Linked DNA regions of Schizosaccharomyces pombe. The protein of the gene in region 3 interacts with the protein of the main gene of each other region in a biochemical or structural test. Each region holds a gene or a part of one and is shown on either strand. Other genes may lie near its edges.

Evidence for each region.
Region 1: the proteins of mts4 (region 3) and rpn10 form a complex in vitro, tested with the Schizosaccharomyces pombe proteins (one study listed by BioGRID).
Region 2: the proteins of mts4 (region 3) and txc1 form a complex in vitro, tested with the Schizosaccharomyces pombe proteins (one study listed by BioGRID).

What each region holds. Positions count from the first base shown.
Region 1 is NC_003424.3:4,555,647-4,561,109, forward strand, and holds rpn10 (19S proteasome regulatory subunit Rpn10), read right to left. Parts: upstream 3,051-5,463; 5' UTR 2,991-3,050; coding exon 2,965-2,990; intron 2,923-2,964; coding exon 2,776-2,922; intron 2,719-2,775; exon of another isoform or gene 2,697-2,718; coding exon 2,373-2,696; exon of another isoform or gene 2,310-2,372; coding exon 2,075-2,309; 3' UTR 1,905-2,074; downstream 1-1,904. Other genes in the region: rex1 (putative ribonuclease H70), read left to right, coding at 1-1,648; ATP-dependent RNA helicase Rpm2, read left to right, coding at 3,647-5,463. UniProt on the Schizosaccharomyces pombe protein: Protects ubiquitin chains against dissambly by deubiquitinating enzymes thereby promoting protein degradation.
Region 2 is NC_003423.3:963,215-970,317, reverse strand, and holds txc1 (poteasome interacting protein Txc1), read right to left. Parts: upstream 4,039-7,103; 5' UTR 3,608-4,038; coding exon 2,984-3,607; 3' UTR 2,573-2,983; coding exon of another isoform or gene 1,714-2,572; 3' UTR 1,652-1,713; coding exon of another isoform or gene 1,551-1,651; 3' UTR 1,427-1,550; downstream 1-1,426. Other genes in the region: SPOM_SPBP35G2.04C (uncharacterized protein), read left to right, coding at 284-354, 447-867, 1,053-1,310; shugoshin Sgo1, read left to right, coding at 1,551-1,651, 1,714-2,572; SPOM_SPBP35G2.17 (uncharacterized protein), read left to right, coding at 6,043-6,363.
Region 3 is NC_003423.3:2,849,273-2,856,801, reverse strand, and holds mts4 (19S proteasome regulatory subunit Rpn1/Mts4), read left to right. Parts: upstream 1-2,699; 5' UTR 2,700-2,749; coding exon 2,750-2,887; exon of another isoform or gene 2,888-2,934; coding exon 2,935-5,472; 3' UTR 5,473-5,681; downstream 5,682-7,529. Other genes in the region: morphogenesis protein Mor2, read left to right, coding at 1-2,152; SPOM_SPBP19A11.02C (uncharacterized protein), read left to right, coding at 6,488-7,222. UniProt on the Schizosaccharomyces pombe protein: Acts as a regulatory subunit of the 26 proteasome which is involved in the ATP-dependent degradation of ubiquitinated proteins.

The DNA.
Region 1 (5,463 bases), on a different chromosome or scaffold from region 3:
AGAAAATTACCCTAGATTGCAAACTACGGAAAACAATCTTCAAAAACCCCTAAAAATTAGCGACCTACAAGAGCTTGTATTCTGGTGTTTAGCTGATGGACAGGCTCCTTCATGGGTTCTAGTGAGAAATAAACAAATGATTCATAGAGCAGTGATACTTTTAGTTCCTGGATTGGAGCCTAGTCAATTTGGGTTTCAACCCGTGCGCGGCAACAAGCACTCATTTTTGCTGCCGAATTTGCTAAATGAAAATGGCCCCATTCAATTACCTGATTTTTGTGAAGTGTTTGATCGCGCATGGCCTACGAGATCTCCTGGAGATCGATTTCGTGTCTTTTCTCCGGTGAATGCCTTTTTGCAATCTCCTCTGAGTAATGAACAAAAGAAGAAAAGAGATAAAGAAACACGTGCTATGGCTAGTTTTTCCAAACCATCTGATTACTTAATGAGTTATGAATCTTTCATTGAAGACGAATACCCATTACATCCTACTGTCATGAAGGGTGAAGAGGTTACTCAGCCTTCAGGATGGGTTGCTTCTGCAGGAGATTTTCATTCTCCTCCTATAAATCCCAAAATTCTTGCTATTGATTGCGAAATGGTGCGGACTGAGAACGGGTTAGAAATAGCCAGAGTAACTATTGTAGACATGAAAAGTGAGGTTATTTACGACGAATTTGTAAAACCAGAATCACCCGTCACTGATTATGTTACCCAGTATTCTGGCATAACTGAAGAAAAACTGAGAAATGTTACTACTGTTCTTTCCGATGTTCAATCTTACTTAAAAAAGACTGTGGACAACAATACCGTTCTTTTAGGCCATAGTCTAAATTCTGATCTTAATTGCTTAAAATTTACACACCCTCATATCATTGATACGGCAAACATTTATAATCACACTCGTGGTCCCCCTTCAAAACCATCGCTTAAATGGCTTGCAACGAAGTGGTTGAGGCGTGAGATACAAAAAGCGGGAGCTCTGGGGCACGATTCTGCAGAAGATGCTCTTGCTTGTGTGGATCTTCTAAAGTTGAAAGTTAAGAATGGACCTGCCTTTGGGTTGTTTAACCAAGACTTTGAGTCAATCTTTCATAGATTGTCACGACAGCAGCCAACTCCATTGATTGGTGCAATTGCCGACTATGGTAATCCGGAGTCGTGCATTGGCAAAGCGGCTCATAAAAGCGTTTCTTGTGCGAATGATGATGAAGTCGTAAGCGCTGTTGTAAGTCTTTCAGACATGCATAACTTCGTGTGGGGTCGTTTTCGCGAATTGGAGCATGCGGCTATGTGGAACGCTAATCGAAATACAAAACAAGAAAACAACTCTGATACTGATACAGAGAATGATTCGGTAGAAGAGGACCAAGTAACTAGCTATTCTTCTGCTTTAGAGCGTTTTAATCGAAGAATTCGTCTTTTATACGACTCCTTACCAAAAGGTTCTCTATTGCTTTTGTATACTGGTACTGGAAATCCCATCGAAATGTCAAAATTAAACGCTATTCGCCAACAATTTAGAAAAGAATACCAGACCAAAAAATGGGATGAGCTATCAGTAAAATGGACTGATGAAGAAAATATGAAATATATATCTGCTGTTGAAAACACAAGGAATGGATTGTCTTTTATGACGATCAAATAAGTGTGTTTTTATATTGCGATCAAGTAAATTTTGGGTAAAGGGTCTGCATTTTATTGGTCATAATAGATAGTTGAAGAAAACAATTGTTTTGGTTTATGTATATGTTGAAATTAAGAAAGGTAAACAGCTAGTCAGACACGTATATTAGGGGCGTTTTTATTATTGGATGCCACTAACGCTACCTTGATTGTAGATTAATACCTTTCCTTCTAGTAATGTGTTTCTAGAATGCGCTAACCTTTTCTACAATGCTAATTACGAAAATGAAACAAAATGCTGCCAATTTATTATTTTGGATATATTTTGAAAAATCATGATTTTTAGGATTCAATCTAATTTAAACGTTGCTGCATAAAGCATGGCTAGTAAAGTACAAGAACGTTAATTTGTCTTTCATAAGGATAAGGAATCGTAGACATCTTCGGATCATTCTTGCATTTTTTTATCCTCAGTTTCTTCAGATGATTTTTGAGCAGCAACTTCTTGACGTGCTCGTTCCTCCGCCATTGAAAGTTCCAAGGCTAACGCCAATTCAACGTCAAGATTAGGATCGACTCCATACTCAAATTGGTTTTGAGAAGCAACTACACCTTGTCCAATAGGGGATTGATTTACCAAATCTGAAAGTAACTGCGGGCTAGGTGGAATGCTGACAAGATGACTAAAATTGTTAATACTAGTAAAAAAAAGAAGCCAAAAATGTCCGAAAAATCCGTAGACTTACCAACTGTCACTTGAATTAGCAGCGTCAATGAAATGCTGCAAAGCTGATTCATTCTGAAGCTCACCAATGTGAATGATATCAATAGCAACATTATTCTTTTTCATACGCTTGGCTAGACGAATAAGATTTTTCTCGTCCTCAACAATAGGAGAACCTACAAATGCAACAATTCTTTGACGTTGAATTTTGTTTTCTCTATGCTTTAAGGCTAACTGCGCAATCTGTATACCATCGCCAAACTTTGCGTTTCCTCGGACAGGCAGGTCGTGCATTGCAGATAAGAATTTACCATAATCTCTGGTTAATGTAGAAAGAACTTGGGGACTAATATGATTAGAATTTCTGTAAAGTATTTTATAGCTGAACATAAAGTACCGTTCAAGCCGTAATATTAATCATATACCTATTATCACCAATTGTCATTAAACCACACATGTTCTCCGGATTATCATTGATCTTTTGATTGAAAATCATATGTACAGTATCCTTTTGAGCTTCAAACCTCGTAGGTATATAATCACCATTAATCATCCATTCTGAATTATCAATTCTGCCATGTTAGAGCAATAATTTAACAAAAATAAATTCTTACAGAATCATCGTTGCTTCTAACACCATCTTGAAGACCTATAATTTAAAACTTAATGCGAAGAAATTTGAAAGAACGCTTGGTAGATTACAGAAGATGTGTTGCAAAGTGAACTAGACAAGGTATTACTACTCACCTTCTCTAGTCATTCTCGGATAACGATATGTAACGCATCACAAAATGAAACATCGAAAAACATGGTGATACACAATTCATTTCCTGTTCGAATCCACAGGTTCTCTAATTTCTTACAGCACGCGTAAATAATCGAAAGCCAACACCAAATGCGTGAAATTGTTATAATACAAGTGTAGGTAATAAACGCTTTTTAAAAAATTTTATATATTTACTGAAGCGGAAAACTGGAATTTAAAGGGTACTGCTGAGATACTAATTTTTTGGAGATACATGCAGAGCTGTTGGTATAACATATTAGAGGCCTCAGCAGGCAACTTGACTGAATCTCGTAGTCAAATTATTACTTTTTTTTTCCTTTTTTAATTAATAGAAGGTAATATTTTTAAAAGCGATAAAGCCAGGGACCTTCAGACGTTTGAGAAGTATTTAATTTTCTATATAAACATTTCTTGTTTTTAAATTACTTTAAATACTTGGATTAAGTTTTGCTCTGGTTACAGGGCGGCCAGCAATAGAGCATTGCTAGAAAGATTTTAACTCGCCAGGAATGTTTTTGGAAACTTTGATTCATGGCGTAACGTTTTGTGTACCGTTTTTTAGCAAGTCTGCTAGAATTCACACTTTATCAAAGGATGTTTTTCAACAAAGGAAATTCCCAGGAAATACCTTGTGGGCTGCTGCCCTCAATCGCTTCACTGCATATTTATTTGCTTCCAAAGAACTTTCGTCAAAACAAGCATACTTAGCCCAAGACTTTGTCAATGTCTGCAAGGATGCCAGTGTCTTTCAGAATGTATACTATTATGAGTTAAAAAAGAATATCCTTACAGATTTAGGATTTTCTGACTTAAAAAACTCTGATAAATCATTGGCTCTTTCAAAATCTTCTTCTACTTTTGACCTTCAGAAAATAAAAAAGATCCATGATTGTTTACTCTCAGAGTATCGGAAGTATGTACGATATCAAGAGCGAATAGAAGAAACAAGACCTGACTTACAAAAGCAATTAACAGATTTAAAAAATCCAATTGAGTGGTATCCAGGAGCGAGAAAACTCAGAAGGCATATCATTATGCATGTCGGCCCAACGAATAGCGGGAAAACACATAGGGCTTTAGAAAGACTTAAGACTTGCAAGAAAGGTATATTTGCTGGCCCTTTAAGACTTTTGGCTCACGAAATCTATAATCGCTTGCAAGCAAACGGAATAGCTTGTAATCTTTACACAGGGGAAGAGATTAGAAATGATTATCCTTTCCCTCAGGTTGTTTCATGTACTGTAGAAATGTGCAACTTATCTACTACTTTTGATGTTGCAGTCATTGATGAAATCCAAATGATGGCTGATCCTTCACGGGGATATGCTTGGACTCAATGCTTGCTTGGCTTGCAGGCTAAGGAAATTCATTTATGCGGAGAAGAAAGTGTTGTTAAATTAGTGCGTTCAATTGCTAAAATGACCCAAGATGATTTTACTGTTTACAGATACGAACGGTTAAATCCTCTCCACGTTGCAGAAAAGAGCTTAAATGGAAAGTTAAGTGAACTCAAAGACGGGGATTGTGTTGTGGCTTTTTCAAGGAAAAACATTTTTACTTTGAAGTCTAAAATTGATCAAGCATTAGGAAAAAAATCTGCCGTTATTTATGGTTCACTGCCTCCTGAAGTCCGTAATCAACAAGCAAGCTTATTTAATTCAAAGAGTTCTGATGAAAATATTTTGCTGGCCTCCGATGCCATTGGTATGGGTCTCAACTTAGGCGTAAAGCGTATTGTTTTCAGCGATTTAAAAAAGTTTAGTGGAGTTTCCACTATAGACATCCCTGTACCACAAATTAAGCAGATAGCAGGAAGAGCTGGCCGACATAATCCCAATGGATCTAAGCAAAGTGCTGGAATAGTAACTACCCTATATCAAAAAGATTTTGCGAAATTAAATCGCGCCATGAATCTTCCTACAAAGAACTTATTCAATGCTTGTATTGGAGCTAAGGACGATTTATTCTTTAGATATTTATCACTATTCTCTGATGACATTCCTCAAAAGCTAATTTTCGATCGTTACTTTAAGTTAGCGAAAACGACTACTCCATTTGTTGTGTCGGAAGGAGCACTAAGCACATTCATTATTGAATATTTAGACCACATAAAAGGTTTAACCATTAAAGATAAAATCAAATTGTTAGGGTGCCCAGTGTTAAAGCATTCTAAATACGCACCACTATTTATTCGGGAAATCGGATGTGTTATCGCTCAAGGAAAACGTCTGCAAATATATGATTTGAAGTCTGTACCTTTGGAAATATTAGAACGCGGAATTCCAACCACTGAAACCGAGTTACAACAACTAGAGCAGCTTCACAA
Region 2 (7,103 bases), 1.9 Mb from region 3:
TGACTTATTGGGTTATAATTACTGCAGCGTATACCTAATATGCTGTATACGACCTCTTCAAAAACTAACGCTAAAATCTGTCAAACCATAGTATGTAATTTTTATTTTTTTTTCTCTATGGCGTAGATATAATTTCGTATCAAGACTGTAGACTTGAAGTTTTAACCCAAGTTTTATCAGGTGTTAAATAGATCTCCCTTTTCTAACTTCTTAGTGCGTGCACATGCATGTGCATGTGTGTTAAACGATTTGAGTCTAAAATTGACAAGAGCGGCTTCGAAATATGATATCTAATAGCTCCATTGAGGATAGAATTAATAAAAATGAAGCATATATAGCCAAGTTTTTTGAAATGTGTGTGTAATTATAAGAATTTCTGTGTTTGTCGCCTGAAGTTTTAAAATTTAAAGTGAATGATTTATGAGTTTACTTACTAACTTTATTAGATTTTCTAAAAATGATAAAATTCGCTTCCATGGAGTCTCACTTGACCGAAAAGCACTTGACTCGTTTATGGTTAGAAACAATTTTAAAAAAAGGTTCGTATCTGGTATTAACCTACCCATTTTAATACGATTACATTTTTATAAGAAACTCTTTACCATTTTATGGCTAACAGTTAGAACGGTCGCTTTGTTATCTCATGCTAGAAACATACAATGTCTAATTCAGGAATCCGATGGCGATGCTAAAGACGTTGCTCGTTCCATTTATATTACTACGGCTGAGTTTCGGAATTATTTGTTGACTGAAAAAGGGTTTTACGTTACGACCAGGAGCATTTCACATTTTCGAGCAATATTAGACAGCATAAGATACCCTTTTGGAAAAGACCATGCTAGCAAGAACATGGAGCTTTTACCTATAGTAAGTTTTACATAAATTTTAAGCGGACTACTATGTAAGGGATCTTATCCAAAAGACGTATCTGCAATTTTTAGGGTTGATAATGTTATACCTTTGCATGTAGTTAAATTCAACGTTCGTTGATATAATATGCCAATGTTTAACACGTTTTCTTAATGATGCATACTAACCGACTACTTACTTAGACTTACGATCTCAGTTTTTGTACTGTTTTTCATGGTTATCTCACCAGTATACTGGAAGCTTATGAATTCTTTAGAGGTGTTTTCAAAAAGTATAAAGCTCCCTTGTCCTCTAACTTTATAGCAATAGGAAAGACCACGGACGAATCTAATTTCTCACAATTGCATCATTATTTCCAAAAGTTTGATGAAAGAATTCGTCGAATATTACATTTAATCTCTCAGGAGTTGGATGGATATTGTCGGATAGCGAAGCAGTAATTAATTTTATGTTCTTTTTATCAATTTTTATTCAGGATATGGGCTGCATTAAGTCGTACAACCATCTTTCATCTAATTTATTATATACTAATTTACATTGATTTGGCAAGTTCCTTAAAGAAAAGAGCCTTTCTCAATATGACAAGACTTTAGTTTGCGATTGTTTACCTTACACTTAACAGGTTTGTTTACATCAGCAAGTCCTTAATTGCTTTTCGCAAAAAAAGCTTTAAAAAAGCTATGAACTTTCAATTTATAAATTCAAATATAAACAATGAAGATAAATTGCCGATGGAGTCGTTGAAAAAGAAATTTTTAAAACAAAATCGTGAAATTATAAAGTAAGGTCAAAGTACACCATTTTTGAATCCCTTGTGGTAAATAATAAACATCTAACTTTCAGAATAAATACTCAGCTTTCTATAAAAATTAGAGAATCTGAAAACGAAATTCAAGATTTGATACAAGAAAATTTCACTTTGAAAAGTTATTTGGTTAAACTTGAAGCTCGATTTCGCAATCAATCTCAAACTGAGGACTTGTTAAAAAACTTCTTTCCTGAGATACAAACCATTCACAAAAAGATTTCACAAGTGCAAAGTTTACTGAAGATTATAGAGAAAAAGTGTTCATCAGATTTCCTCGAAGCGAATGTAAAAAGTCAATTTACAACCTGTGAAAATAAAGATTCGAAAGAAGATTATCAGATTTTGCATAATAAACGCTTGGAGTATGTATCATTTAATGATGAACTTAAAAGTCTCGAAACAGGGCAACCATTGTATTGTTTTCAAGATTTCCAAAAAAAAGTCCATGGTCCTCCGGCTCTATCTGAAAAACCTGGAAAATGTATATTAAAAGATAAAACCAATGCCCACGTAAACAAAATACCACAAGATGAGGTGAATTACTCATTGCCGCAAAAAAATATCACCATCTTTTCAAAGGAATTAAAAGAAAACGAATTTGAATCCATCAACGAGGGCGAAACTGAAGAAGAAAAGGCTAAAACATCAAATGTTTGTGTTTGTATTCCTTGTAAAAGTGCTGAACAGATAACTGACCTTAAAGGACAAGCAACCGGAGACAGCTCCCCATGTGATTTTGAAGAATCTCAACCAAGGATTAATGGACGTGAAAAACTAAGACGATCAGTCAAAGTGATAAACTATGCAATACCCAGTTTGCGAACTAAACTACGACGAGACTTTGACTTACCATCTGATAGAAAACGCAAACGACATCCCAGAGGCAAAGCATAAATTATATTGAGGTCACATTGTTAAATATTTTCACATTTATAGCACAGCTAATTTATAATTTAATCTACTGCAAGCAACATTTAAATTCAAGAGAAAAACAAAAAATAATAGAGGAAGAAAAAAAGAACCTAATCAAGGCTCATTTCTTTTACATAAACACATAATTAATCGGCCAATAAATACAAACCAACATTTAAACATAAGCTAAAAAAGTATGGAGACTTAGCCATTTAAGAAAAAGAAAAGAAAAAGGGCGTTAGATATTCTTTAAATAACCGTCATTAAAAAAAATCCAAATCAAAGCGTATTCGTATCGTTTCATATATATTTTTTATTTTGCTTTGGGTAAAACAAAAATCTCAAATAAGAGAGGAAAAAACCAAAAGGAAGGAATCTAAACTTCCCGGGAGCTTAATAGTAAGAACGGAAAACCTCCTCTTGGTTAACTTTGGGATGATCTGAAGGTCTAGGAGTAGCTTCGTAAATGGTTACAACAGGATCACCCTTGAAGGGAACAAAAGAACCACGAAGACCAATGTAGGCGATTTGTGTAGGATCATCAGAACCGTCGCTTTTGGTGAAGAAGATATTGAGATTTTGAAGGTTTTGATAGAGACGAGTCTTAACAGGAAACTCGAAGATATGGCTTCCTTCAAAAGTCAAGGGAAATTCAAATGTTTCAGTGGCTTGGACATCACCGATTGTGTCAAAATCCAAGTCGGTACGATTGGGAAAAAGTGAAAAGGAGTGTGGAGCGGTTTCATTAGGAAAAATGCGAACCAAAATTGATTTTAGTGTTGCCGCACCTGCAAACGGTACCTGAAACAAGAGTTGGTCATCAGCATCACTTTCTACGATATCAGTGTCATCATAACGAAGGTCCCAAGGTTTGAAGACGAGTTTTCCGGAATCTGGTACAGCTTCATTCAGCGTAACAATTGATTCCTTTCGGATGCAAGAATACAAGGTATCATTTGGACCAGACTCAAACGGATGTTCATCACAGTCAGCGGAACAATGGTGAGGGCCAGACATTTAGTACAAACTTCTAAGGAAATCGTTAAAAATGCAAGACTAGGCGAGTTGATAGGTGAATAAATAAACGGTAAACTCGCTAACAAAAAGTAAAAGGGAAAGTTATTTGCGAGCACACTAAGACGTAAGACCGACACTCGGAAGCAAATACTCAAACAAAACAACTAATAGGAAGAAAACCAAAAGCGGAAAAATATGGCGAAAAAGCCTCCCGAGACCAGAAGTACGTTATGCGTTAAAATATTTTTCTTAGAAGCTTTACTAGTCTTCAGCAAAAGAAAAACAAAAATGGAATCAAAATCAGAATTCAAAACTGAAAAGAAAGAATATAAAAGTAGTTTTTTAACGATGAATTATTTTATTGCTTTTTAAAAAATTTTGATTTTGAGACAATAACCGAAAACTCACTTTTGTACCAAAGAAACGTTGACAGTATAAGCAAACAACCTCCTTACTGACTTTTAAACACCAACTTGAAAATATTCGATGAATAGTATGAATACCAGAATTTTAAAAAATAAATAAAAGAAAATCTATACATAAATATAAAGGGGCCTTTTTGTTTTTTTTTTGGTTTTCTCGCAAAAAAAAGTTATTCAGTCGTAAATTTCTACGTGGTAGATGAAAGAAAGTGTAGAAATTTCAACGTTAAATTAGCGAGACTTTTGTAGCACTGTATGAGGAACAGAATTTCAAGGCATACGAACAACTAAGCTAAAAGGCCCATGAAAAAGACAACACCAAAGTTCTTCCTTGGTAACATTGTTTCTATCCAGGCGGGTAGGATGTGGGCCGTGTGGCGCTCATTGTAACAATATATATGTATAGGATTTTGATAAAAACCGGTTGCTTGAACATGCAAGAATAATGAACGGTGACACGTGACAAAGTTACAGCGCAGAAATACGGTGACAACCAAAGCAAGACCAAGGGAAAAGGTTCGCTATAGATGTGAAACAAGTCATGGAAAGAAGGGTGGGGGAGGGCAAGCCAAGGCTGGGGGTAGCGTAAAAGTATAACTTTGTATAATTTTACATTGAAGAAAGAAATGGCACGCCATATGTAACGTGTTTTCTTTTCCATGGTGAATGTTTATTAAGAGAAACATGGATATGCGTACATTCGGGATTACATTGGTGTGGGAGGATTGAACATTATGGATTTGATTATTTAGAGAAAAAAAAAAAAAAAAAGAAAGAAAGAGAACGTACTATTTTTTGGTTGACTTTTATATTCCTAAGGTTTACTCCTAATGTCGCTACGGACATGAATCCGTGCAAAAGGACCTGAACCGCTGTTAACCCTTGCCTTAACCGTGTCTCGCCCCTGTTGTTGATATTTTTATGCGACTGAAAAATGCCTCACTGGTTCAACAAAGCATGAAAGGATTAGAAATTTTTAATGAGAAAATCGATGTTGAATAAAAATGACCAAAGAAGTGTTCTTGCATTTTCTTTCTCTACTTTTTTTTATTTTTCTAATTTTTCATCCTTGAAAAAAAAATACAAACGAGAATGATCTGCATCTTGATATCTTTAGCGAATATCCTGATTTTTGCATAACTGGCTTTTTTTTCTCTACGCTTCTCTTTGTCCCGCTGCACTGGATAGTACTAGATACATATGGAATAGGGTGTTTATACAAGATTCTGGAAAAAGTAGTAAATAAATGTCCCAAAAAGGAGAAACTTGACAGAAAAATAAAAACAAAGAAAAACAAGGAAGACATGGGAAAAAGTGGGAAAGGAGTTTTGATTTGAATACGCCTTACCTACTTAGAGCCAAAAAAAGAAAAAGAACTTGAAAAAAATTTTTCTTGAGAAGCCGTACATACGATATTTTCTATTTTTTTATTTTATTTTTTTTTTCGTTCTCGAGTTTAATTACTAAACCATCTTATTCTATTTTTACTCGTTTGTTGGAATGCGATTTTTCTAGCACATAACCGAAACACGCAGCGTTCGTTATCTGATCAAAGGAAAATCATTGAAAACATAGTATGCAAAAAAGACCCTCATGGGTTTGTAAACAAGATTCATACGTCCTTTAATAATCGATTTCATGAAATGAATGAATTCCAGTAGTAGGTTAAAATTTTTCCAAAAGATTCTGATGCGTTTAGCACTATTGTATTCTGCATATAGCAAAGCACATGGATGTATGTAGGATGGATACATGTGGGATGGGTACGTGAAAATGTGGGATAGATGTACCTATGTGGGATGTTTTGCATACCTACAGAGGAAGCACAGGTGGGATCGGATCCAGTAGCTACTACAGTTGGTGATTGTTACTGTTGGCAGAGTGTTGCATCCTAGCTCTTTGCTGAGGAGTTATTGCTTCGTGGCAAACTACAGAGTAACACGTGCTAGATCCCGCGAACGTTAGATTCAAAGATCCCAAACACTTACAACAAGGTTACATGAGTATAAGTAAATGGTACGTGAATTCTACGTTACCGGTCGAGGCAGAAAGTTGCTTCCGACCGTCTTCAGAATCAAGTCATTCCATGGAATTGTAAGACAATGTGTGAAACAACAACGAGATTTCACTTCTTTTTTAGCTAGTTCTCCCGCTATGGGTGTCGCACAAGGACAACAGGTAAAATTAATTTTGATGCTACTCATTGAGACATGGGAAACAAAACATCAATCATGCCACAGTCATTTCATTTTATTAGAATTCACTCATCTTTTTGTACGCAAGTTTTCGCAAATATTTTTCGAGTTCCGGTTGTTTGCTCACCTACTATCATAAATACAATGTATAATCAATAAACGATTCGCACTTTGTCGTTAGAAATCGAAAAAAAATAAATAAATAAATAAATAGATATATAAAAGTAAAACCATTCTCTAATAGTGAAATATATTTATATCTCTATCATGTGTAAATTTTGTTTTATTATTTTTTCTCTTTTTATTTTTACTTCTCTAGTTCTCTATTATTGAATTCCATTTATTTTATTCTATTTTATTATAATTTAAACTAATTTCTTTTTTTTCTCATTCATTCCCAACCGTCAGTTTAATTTTTCATCCCTGCCCTGCACATCTTTATACATGCTATATTTCGACCCCACCTATCGCCTTAAATCTCTCGTTGAAAAAAAGTCATCATCACCATGGTTCTCCATTTTGCTCCGCTACTGACTGCATCGGTGCCTCTTTTTACAGTCCAAAGATGTGCGATCAGCATCATGTTGTTGTGAGCTGGCGTACAACTGTCTTCTCACATGTATTTTTGGGGTTTAAAGGCGGAGAATATGATGCGAAAGGTCGCTTAAAGTGAGTAGAAGAGTATTCGAGAATTAAAATGAAAAAATAAAAAATGTAGTGTGTTTTTACTATTGTATATGACACCCCGGCTGAGCTAGCGTTTGTGTGTGCATTTAGTATGCGAGTTAGTACACACAGTGTTTTTCTCGGTTTCCCACTTCCGACTCAAATCCCCCACATCAGTCGTTCTGCTTTCTTCTCTTGTGTGTTGTAATCAAA
Region 3 (7,529 bases):
AATACTCCATGCTGCTTTTATACAATTTGATCATTATTCTCGCATAGTCCAAGAGCAATGCCAGCAGATTTTTCAGTATGTTGTACGAAAAGTTCTAGCTATGGAAGGAAGGTTAGATTATGACGACGCTTATTTTGATTTCAATGTAGAAAGCTCACTAATAACGGGCCTTCGTGGTAAAACCAAGAAGGAGGATGATTTGGTTAAATATCATAACATGATTTTGAAGACAATTGAGTTATTGAGTTCATCATATCCTGAGCTTAAACAAATATGGGGTGAGGTTGCTTTATCGTGGGCTACGACTTGTCCTTCTCGACGTTTGGCTTGTAATTCATTCCAGTTGTTTCGTTCTTTGCTTCCAGATTTTGATGCACGAATGCTTCTTGAGATTATTTCTCGTCTAGTTGGTACAATATCAGATGAAACGAGCTATTTACGTGATTATTCCGTTGAAATATTGCGAACTTTTAATTCCTATGTTTTAGTTATGAACTCCGATGATTTACTAAGTTATTCTCAAATATTATGGACAGCCATTGCGTGTTTGACTACAATCCATGAGGATGAATTTATTGAATCTGTGAAAATTGCATATGCTTACTTTCTGAGAGTGGAGGAGACGGACTCTGCTACCCAACAAATTATGGAGACATTTCCCCAAAACTGGGTTGGAGATTACCAAGGTCTTCAGATTTTAATATTAAAAGGTTTCCGTTCAACTAATTCTTTTGAAATTACCATGAATTTTTTCCTTTTGCTGATGGATTTCAAGGATAATGATTTGGTTGGCGTTGGTTATTTGAGGATACTATCCTGCTTGTTGGTGTCATTACCAGCGATGGTATATACATACGAGCATTCAGATCCTATTACTTTTGATTTAAGTGTTTTCTGTCATAAATTAGCTACTCTTGCTTCACAATTTAACGATGATGCATTGATTGAGCTTCTTGACACATATCTCAAACGTAAATTCAGGTCAATTAAGGATTTTTTAAAACATACGGTTTCATACCTATACTCCTATTATTTTGAAGATTACGAGCTAGAAATTGTTAGTACTCTTACGATGTTTCTATCAAATAATTTGACTTGGTTTAGAAAGTCTACGTTAGATGTGTTAAAAGAACTCTTTCCATTAATTGATTTCCAAAAACCTATATATTCCGAACATGGATTAGGTATTGTTTCACCGCTTCTTCGACTCTTACCTACTGGTTATGCAATGGAAGCGTTGTCTTTGCTAACCGACTCAGTGCTTCATGTATCTGCTCCCACAGATATGCAAACCTTAAAGTTATTAATGGTTGACCCTAAATTAAAAAATTCAGATGATCGTCTGGCTGGATTTTTTGAAATACCTGACGAGGATGGATGGTATGAACCAAACTCTGAATATGCAGCTGCTATAACTAAAAGCAACGTACATGCCGTATTTTATAGCTGTTCCACTACCGAGGCTTCTGTGAGTACGCCAGAGGTTAGATTTCATGCTGATGAAGTATCCAATTATCCGCGACACGTTCCTACTGACAGTCATGGTTCGCTTGACGAAAATTCACTAGGAGAGCTAGTTACAACTCTTCATAGCCTCGATGTCTTCTTCGCTGAAGATAGGGATGAAGAGTTAATTCAGCCTGATGTCGCCGTTGATCCAAAATTAGATATTACATCGGAAGATTATGACGATCGGATAGCTACGATTCTTTCAGGTAGCCTTAGACGGCAGAAACAAGGTCTTATGGCTTATGAAACAGAATCCTTCAGAGATTATTCACCGAACGAAGAAATTGATGCATCAGCAAAATTGCCGATGGACATGCCGCCGGTGAGAGTAAGAAAGTCGTCTTTTATCTCTAAATTAAAACCTCATTACTTTATGGATGCTGAATCTTATTATCCTTCTTTAAAGGCACTTGGTAATTCGGCGGAACATCGTTTATCTTTGGACGAAATACGAGGTGCAGCAGAATTGAAACAAAATAAAAATTGGAATTCCATGTTAGATCAATCTGTTTCTATGATTAATGAAGATTCAGTGGAAGACCATGAAACTCATGAAAATTATTATCATTTACGTACAATGTTTCAAGGAAGTGAAAGCAATGAATCTTTTACTGATACAACTCGATCCCGCGGTTGGCATTGAATTTGCCTATACTGGTTTAGTATACTTATACAAGCTTTTATGGTGTTCATGTGTGTAAGATGGAAAATTAGTCGGCAACGTTTATGGATGTACTATATAAAACTATTCGTTTGTTTTCATTATTTTATCATTTGCATTTTTTTGTTAATTTAAACTCGAAAATTCTTTGACCATTACAGCCTTTAATTTTAGAATTCAAAATCTTAGAGCGTGTCATGTTATTAAAAATCAAGCTATAACTATGGTAATTAGGTGTAGTGATATAAATCGGTTTCATATGTCCGTATTTAAACAAATGAAAACATAAAGAGTCAATCAATAACGAGTTATTTTACAACAATTCTTATAAGAAAAGAGGCATGAGATAATAATGTCAAGCATCGTGTAATAATGGTAATACATTGACGAACTTAAATAATAGATTATTTTTTCATTTGTACTGATCCATAAAGAAAGCATAGCGTGTTGTTAAATCTAATTAACGTGATAAATAATCAAATACGTAAACAATCGGTATACTGGTTCTGACTAGGGTGAGAGTAGTTTCAACGACAACACATTACTACTCAGTTTCAGAAAATCTTAGGAATCTAGAAAATGAGTTCTAAAGACATTAGTTCGAAGTCCCCGAGTGGTAATGATGCATTAAATGACAAAAAAGGGACAAAGACTTCAGAAACTAATGACAGAAACTCAACGAACAATACCAAAGAAAGGGATGAATTAGAGGATTTAGTAAGTTAAAGCCCTATTATTTTTCAAAATGAAAACTAACCAAATAGTCTGAAGAAGATTTACAATTAAAAAATGATTTGGAATTATTAGTTCAAGCTGTTCAAGATGCCACCCCTGAGTTGGTGGGTTCCAGTCTCACTCAGCTTAAAGAAATAATTCGTACTTCTACCTCCTCTATGACGGCCGTTCCAAAGCCTTTGAAGTTTCTTAGACCACATTATTTTACTCTCGTTAAAATCTATGATTCCTGGCCGCAAAGCCCTCAGAAGACTCAACTTGCTGATATCCTTTCAGTATTAGGAATGTCCTATAGTAATACAAGCAAACATGAATCATTAAAATATCGTCTTCAGGGCGTTACCACTGATCCTTCTTTATGGGGTCATGAGTATGTTCGCCATTTGGCTTCCGAAATAGAAGAAGAGTTTGCCAGTCGCCAGGAAGAGGAAGCGCCAACCGACGATCTTATGGAACTTGCATTGACCATTGTTCCATTCTTCCTTACTCATAATGCTGAGGCTGATGCTATTGATTTATTACAAGAATTGGGTGCTATTGAAAAAGTTGTACCCTTCGTAGAACTTGATAATGCTTCTCGCGTTTGTCTTTATATTACCAGTTGCGTTAATCTTTTGCCATTTCCTGAAGATGTCGCCATGTTAAGAACAGCGCATGCTATTTATCGGAAGTTTGACCAGCTTACACAAGCACTTAACGTTGCTATCCGCCTTGATGATATGTCTTTGATAAAAGAAGACTGTGAAGCTGCTACGGATCCCTTGTTGAAAAAGCAAATGTCTTACATGCTTGCTCGTCAGCAAATACCTATGGATATGGGAGACGAGGAGTTAAACGATGCTTTAAATAACACTCATTTATCTGATCACTTTCATTATCTAGGAAAGGAGTTGAACCTTATGGATCCTAAAGTTCCGGAAGATATCTTTAAAACACATTTAGAAGTGGCTAGGACTGGATTGGGTGCATCAGGAGTGTATTCCGCCAAACAAAATTTAGCTAACACTTTTGTCAATGCCCTTGTCAATGCCGGATACAGTAACGACAGATTAATTTTGGTCGATGACGAAAAAACGTCTTGGATTTATAAAAATAAAGAATCTGGTTTAATAAGTGCTACAGCTTCTATTGGCCTATTACAATTATGGAATGTTGACATGGGATTGTCTTTGTTGGATAAGTATTTATACTCTTCTGAGGAGAATACCAAGGCTGGTGCATTGTTGGGAATTGGTGTTACAAATGTTGCAGTAAGAAATGAAGCTGATCCAGCTATGGCAATTCTTTCTGAATACCTTGAAACTGGCTCCGTAAAGCTTCGTGCATCAGCGATTTTAGGTTTAGGACTTGCATACAGTGGAGCTAATCGCGAAGATTTACTCGACATGTTATCTCCAATTGTTACGGATACCGATTGCCCTATGCAATTATCCTGCTTAGCCGCATTATCTTTAGGTCTTATTTTTGTTGGTACTTGCAACGGCGATGTAGCTAGCACAATTTTACAAACTCTAATGGAGCGTGAAGAGTCTGCCCAAAATGATCAATGGGGCCGTTTTATGGCTCTTGGCCTTGCCCTTCTTTTTAATGGTAAACAAGACCTTGCGGATGCTACAGTCGAAACACTGAAAGCTATTGAGGGTAAAATTGCACGACAAGCTGAAATTTTGGTGGATATTTGCTCGTATGCTGGAACTGGCAACGTTCTTCACATCCAAAAATTGCTTCATATCTGTAGTGAACCTCCCAGTGATGATGCTAAGGAGAGTGAGACTACTATCCAGACATTTGCAGCACTTGGTGTTGCTACTATAGCTATGGGTGAAGATATTGGAGCAGAAATGGTTTTGAGACATTTCGATCACATGATGCATTATGGCGAACCCTCTATTCGAAAAGCTATACCACTTGCATTAGGATTGCTTTCCGCTTCCAATCCTCAAATGCGTATATTTGACACGCTTTCACGCTATAGTCACGATAATGATTTGGATGTTGCTTACAACGCAATCTTTGCAATGGGTCTTGTTGGTGCTGGTACTAGTAATGCGCGTTTGGCTCAATTACTCCGCCAACTAGCCAGTTATTATCACAAAGAATCCAACGCTCTATTCATGGTTCGTATCGCTCAAGGTTTACTTTACTTAGGAAAAGGAACAATGACGCTTAACCCTTATCATACAGAACGGCAGATTCTTGGTCAAACTGCTTTTGCTGGTCTTATGACTGTTGTATTAGCTATGCTAGATGCAAATACCTTTGTCCTTGATACCTCGCATTGGTTGCTTTATGCTATTACGTTAGCAATACGACCCCGAATGCTCATTACCCTTGGTGAGGACGGTCAATATTTACCAGTAAGCGTTCGAGTTGGTCAAGCAGTAGATGTGGTCGGTCAAGCTGGTCGTCCCAAGGTCATTACGGGTTGGGTCACACATACTACACCAGTTTTGTTGCATCACAATGAGCGAGCTGAACTAGCGACGGAAGCATATACACCTTTGACTTCGTTGGAAGGTATTGTTATTTTAAAAAAAAATACGGAGGACATTGAAATGACCGCTTAAATGACTTGAAGTTAAATGACTACAATTTTTATGTACTAATGCTTGATTTCCAGTTCTTTGCTATTAATAAAACAAACTGGATTGTTGAAATTCAGCGCCCGATACATTTATTTTTCTATTTCGATTATGTTAAATTCGTATTTTTTAGATTAGAAATGTTCTAGTATTGTTCTAAATTGAAGTAGCGGAAAGTATATATACATGATTGCAAATTTGTAATTAGGATTATAATTTCTGTTTCTTTTTTTTTGTATTTGTCGCGTTACCAAAAGGTAATAGAACGTCCACTGCAGAAACGTCTTGTTGGATAAAAATTGCCCGAACTAAGGAGCTACCATTTCTTAGTAAAAAAAATTTAGACCTGCGTTGGAGCTTAATGCAATTATCAAAGAATGAATTTTAATCATCTTCTGATAATCCGACAAAGGAGTTGACTGCTTTGCGACGCATCCCTTATGTCACGTTTCTACTACTGTTTCAATACCTAACCATTACATTAAAGGTAAAACTGCACATTAGATACTTCGCATTTAGGGAATAACGGTGAATAGCTTTATTTAATTTCAAATATTATCTTGAATTGTTATTATGTTTCATCATATGCAGTCCCAAAGTCTGCTCATCGTTAATTCATTTCCACAGGTAAGTTGTGCATTCATTTCGTTATGTGAAAAAATGGAATGACGCTCGTATTTGAATTGATAGAAATGTCATATATGACTATTAGGGGACTATTATGTGTTGATTGAACAATTTATTTTCAATGGGATCACTCACCCGTCATTTTGTCTACCGAATTGCATTTTGTAAGAATTTGTCAGTAAAAATTTGACCTATATATCGAGGTATTCGTTCTCTCGATTTGTGCTACTGAAATTGAGACATTAATCCGATTTCGCTTGCTTGCAAATAAAAGCCAGGAAAATATAATTGGTCTTTTGGAACTTGTATTTGAGGCACTCTTTAGCATTTTTTATCCTTCTATTTTTTAATTCATTAATCATTTAATAAGAAGATGCAGTTCTCTGTCCTTTGCAAATTTCTGTTGCTTGTCACAGCCGTAATGGCACAAACGGAGTATACTCCTGGTTTTACGACAGACGTTGCTACAACTGTAACGCCTACTCCTTTACCAAGTGCTAATGTTACGACTACTTCCTTTAGCAGTGCAAGTACTGAGACTTCCACCCACAGCGTAACAAGCACGAACATTACTTCGATTGTACCTCCCCCTTCGACTAGCCATAACTCTACCACTACCACTGTGCCACCTACAACTAGCATGAACACTACGACCACTGTACCTCCTACAACTAGCTTGAATACTACTACTACTACTGCACCACCAACAACTCATGTTAACAGCACTACTACTGTTGTACCACCAACAACTCATGTCAACACTACTACTGTTGTACCACCAACAACTCATGTCAACACTACTACTGTTGTACCGCCAACAACTCATGCCAACACTACTAGCTTCGTACCTACTACTACGGAGAGTTCTATACATCCTATCACTACTGGATTCTATAACACTACATTCACTACCGGCTACTTCAACACTTCAGTCACTTCGGTCGCAGTTCATAATAGTACTACTGTCTTCCCGACATCTGTTCCTATTGTAAACACTACTAGTTTCAACGTAACTACCATTCCTTCTTCTGCTGTGCATTATGCTTCTCCCAGCGGACTTCTCGCTTTGGTTGTTATGCTAATTTCTGCCTTCGCCTTTTTGGCTTAATTTATCCCATTTAATATAGGCTTACTATTTATAATATTTACAACCTAGCAGAAGTATGCAATTAATTTCTTTCGCTTAATTACTTTATCAGATTATAGTTTAATGTTGAAATTGTAATTTAATTCTATTAAGTTATTAGTACAATTATGGAAGGCTAAGTCTCTAAAGTAGCAAACAGTATGTCTGGGAAAAAATGTATTTTTAGGCCGTAGTCAATACAGATAGAATGAATGCACCATGCATTATAAATTGACCCGACAAAAAAAGAAGAAAGCGATGTTATGACTCTTCAGTTGAAGGAAGAGGG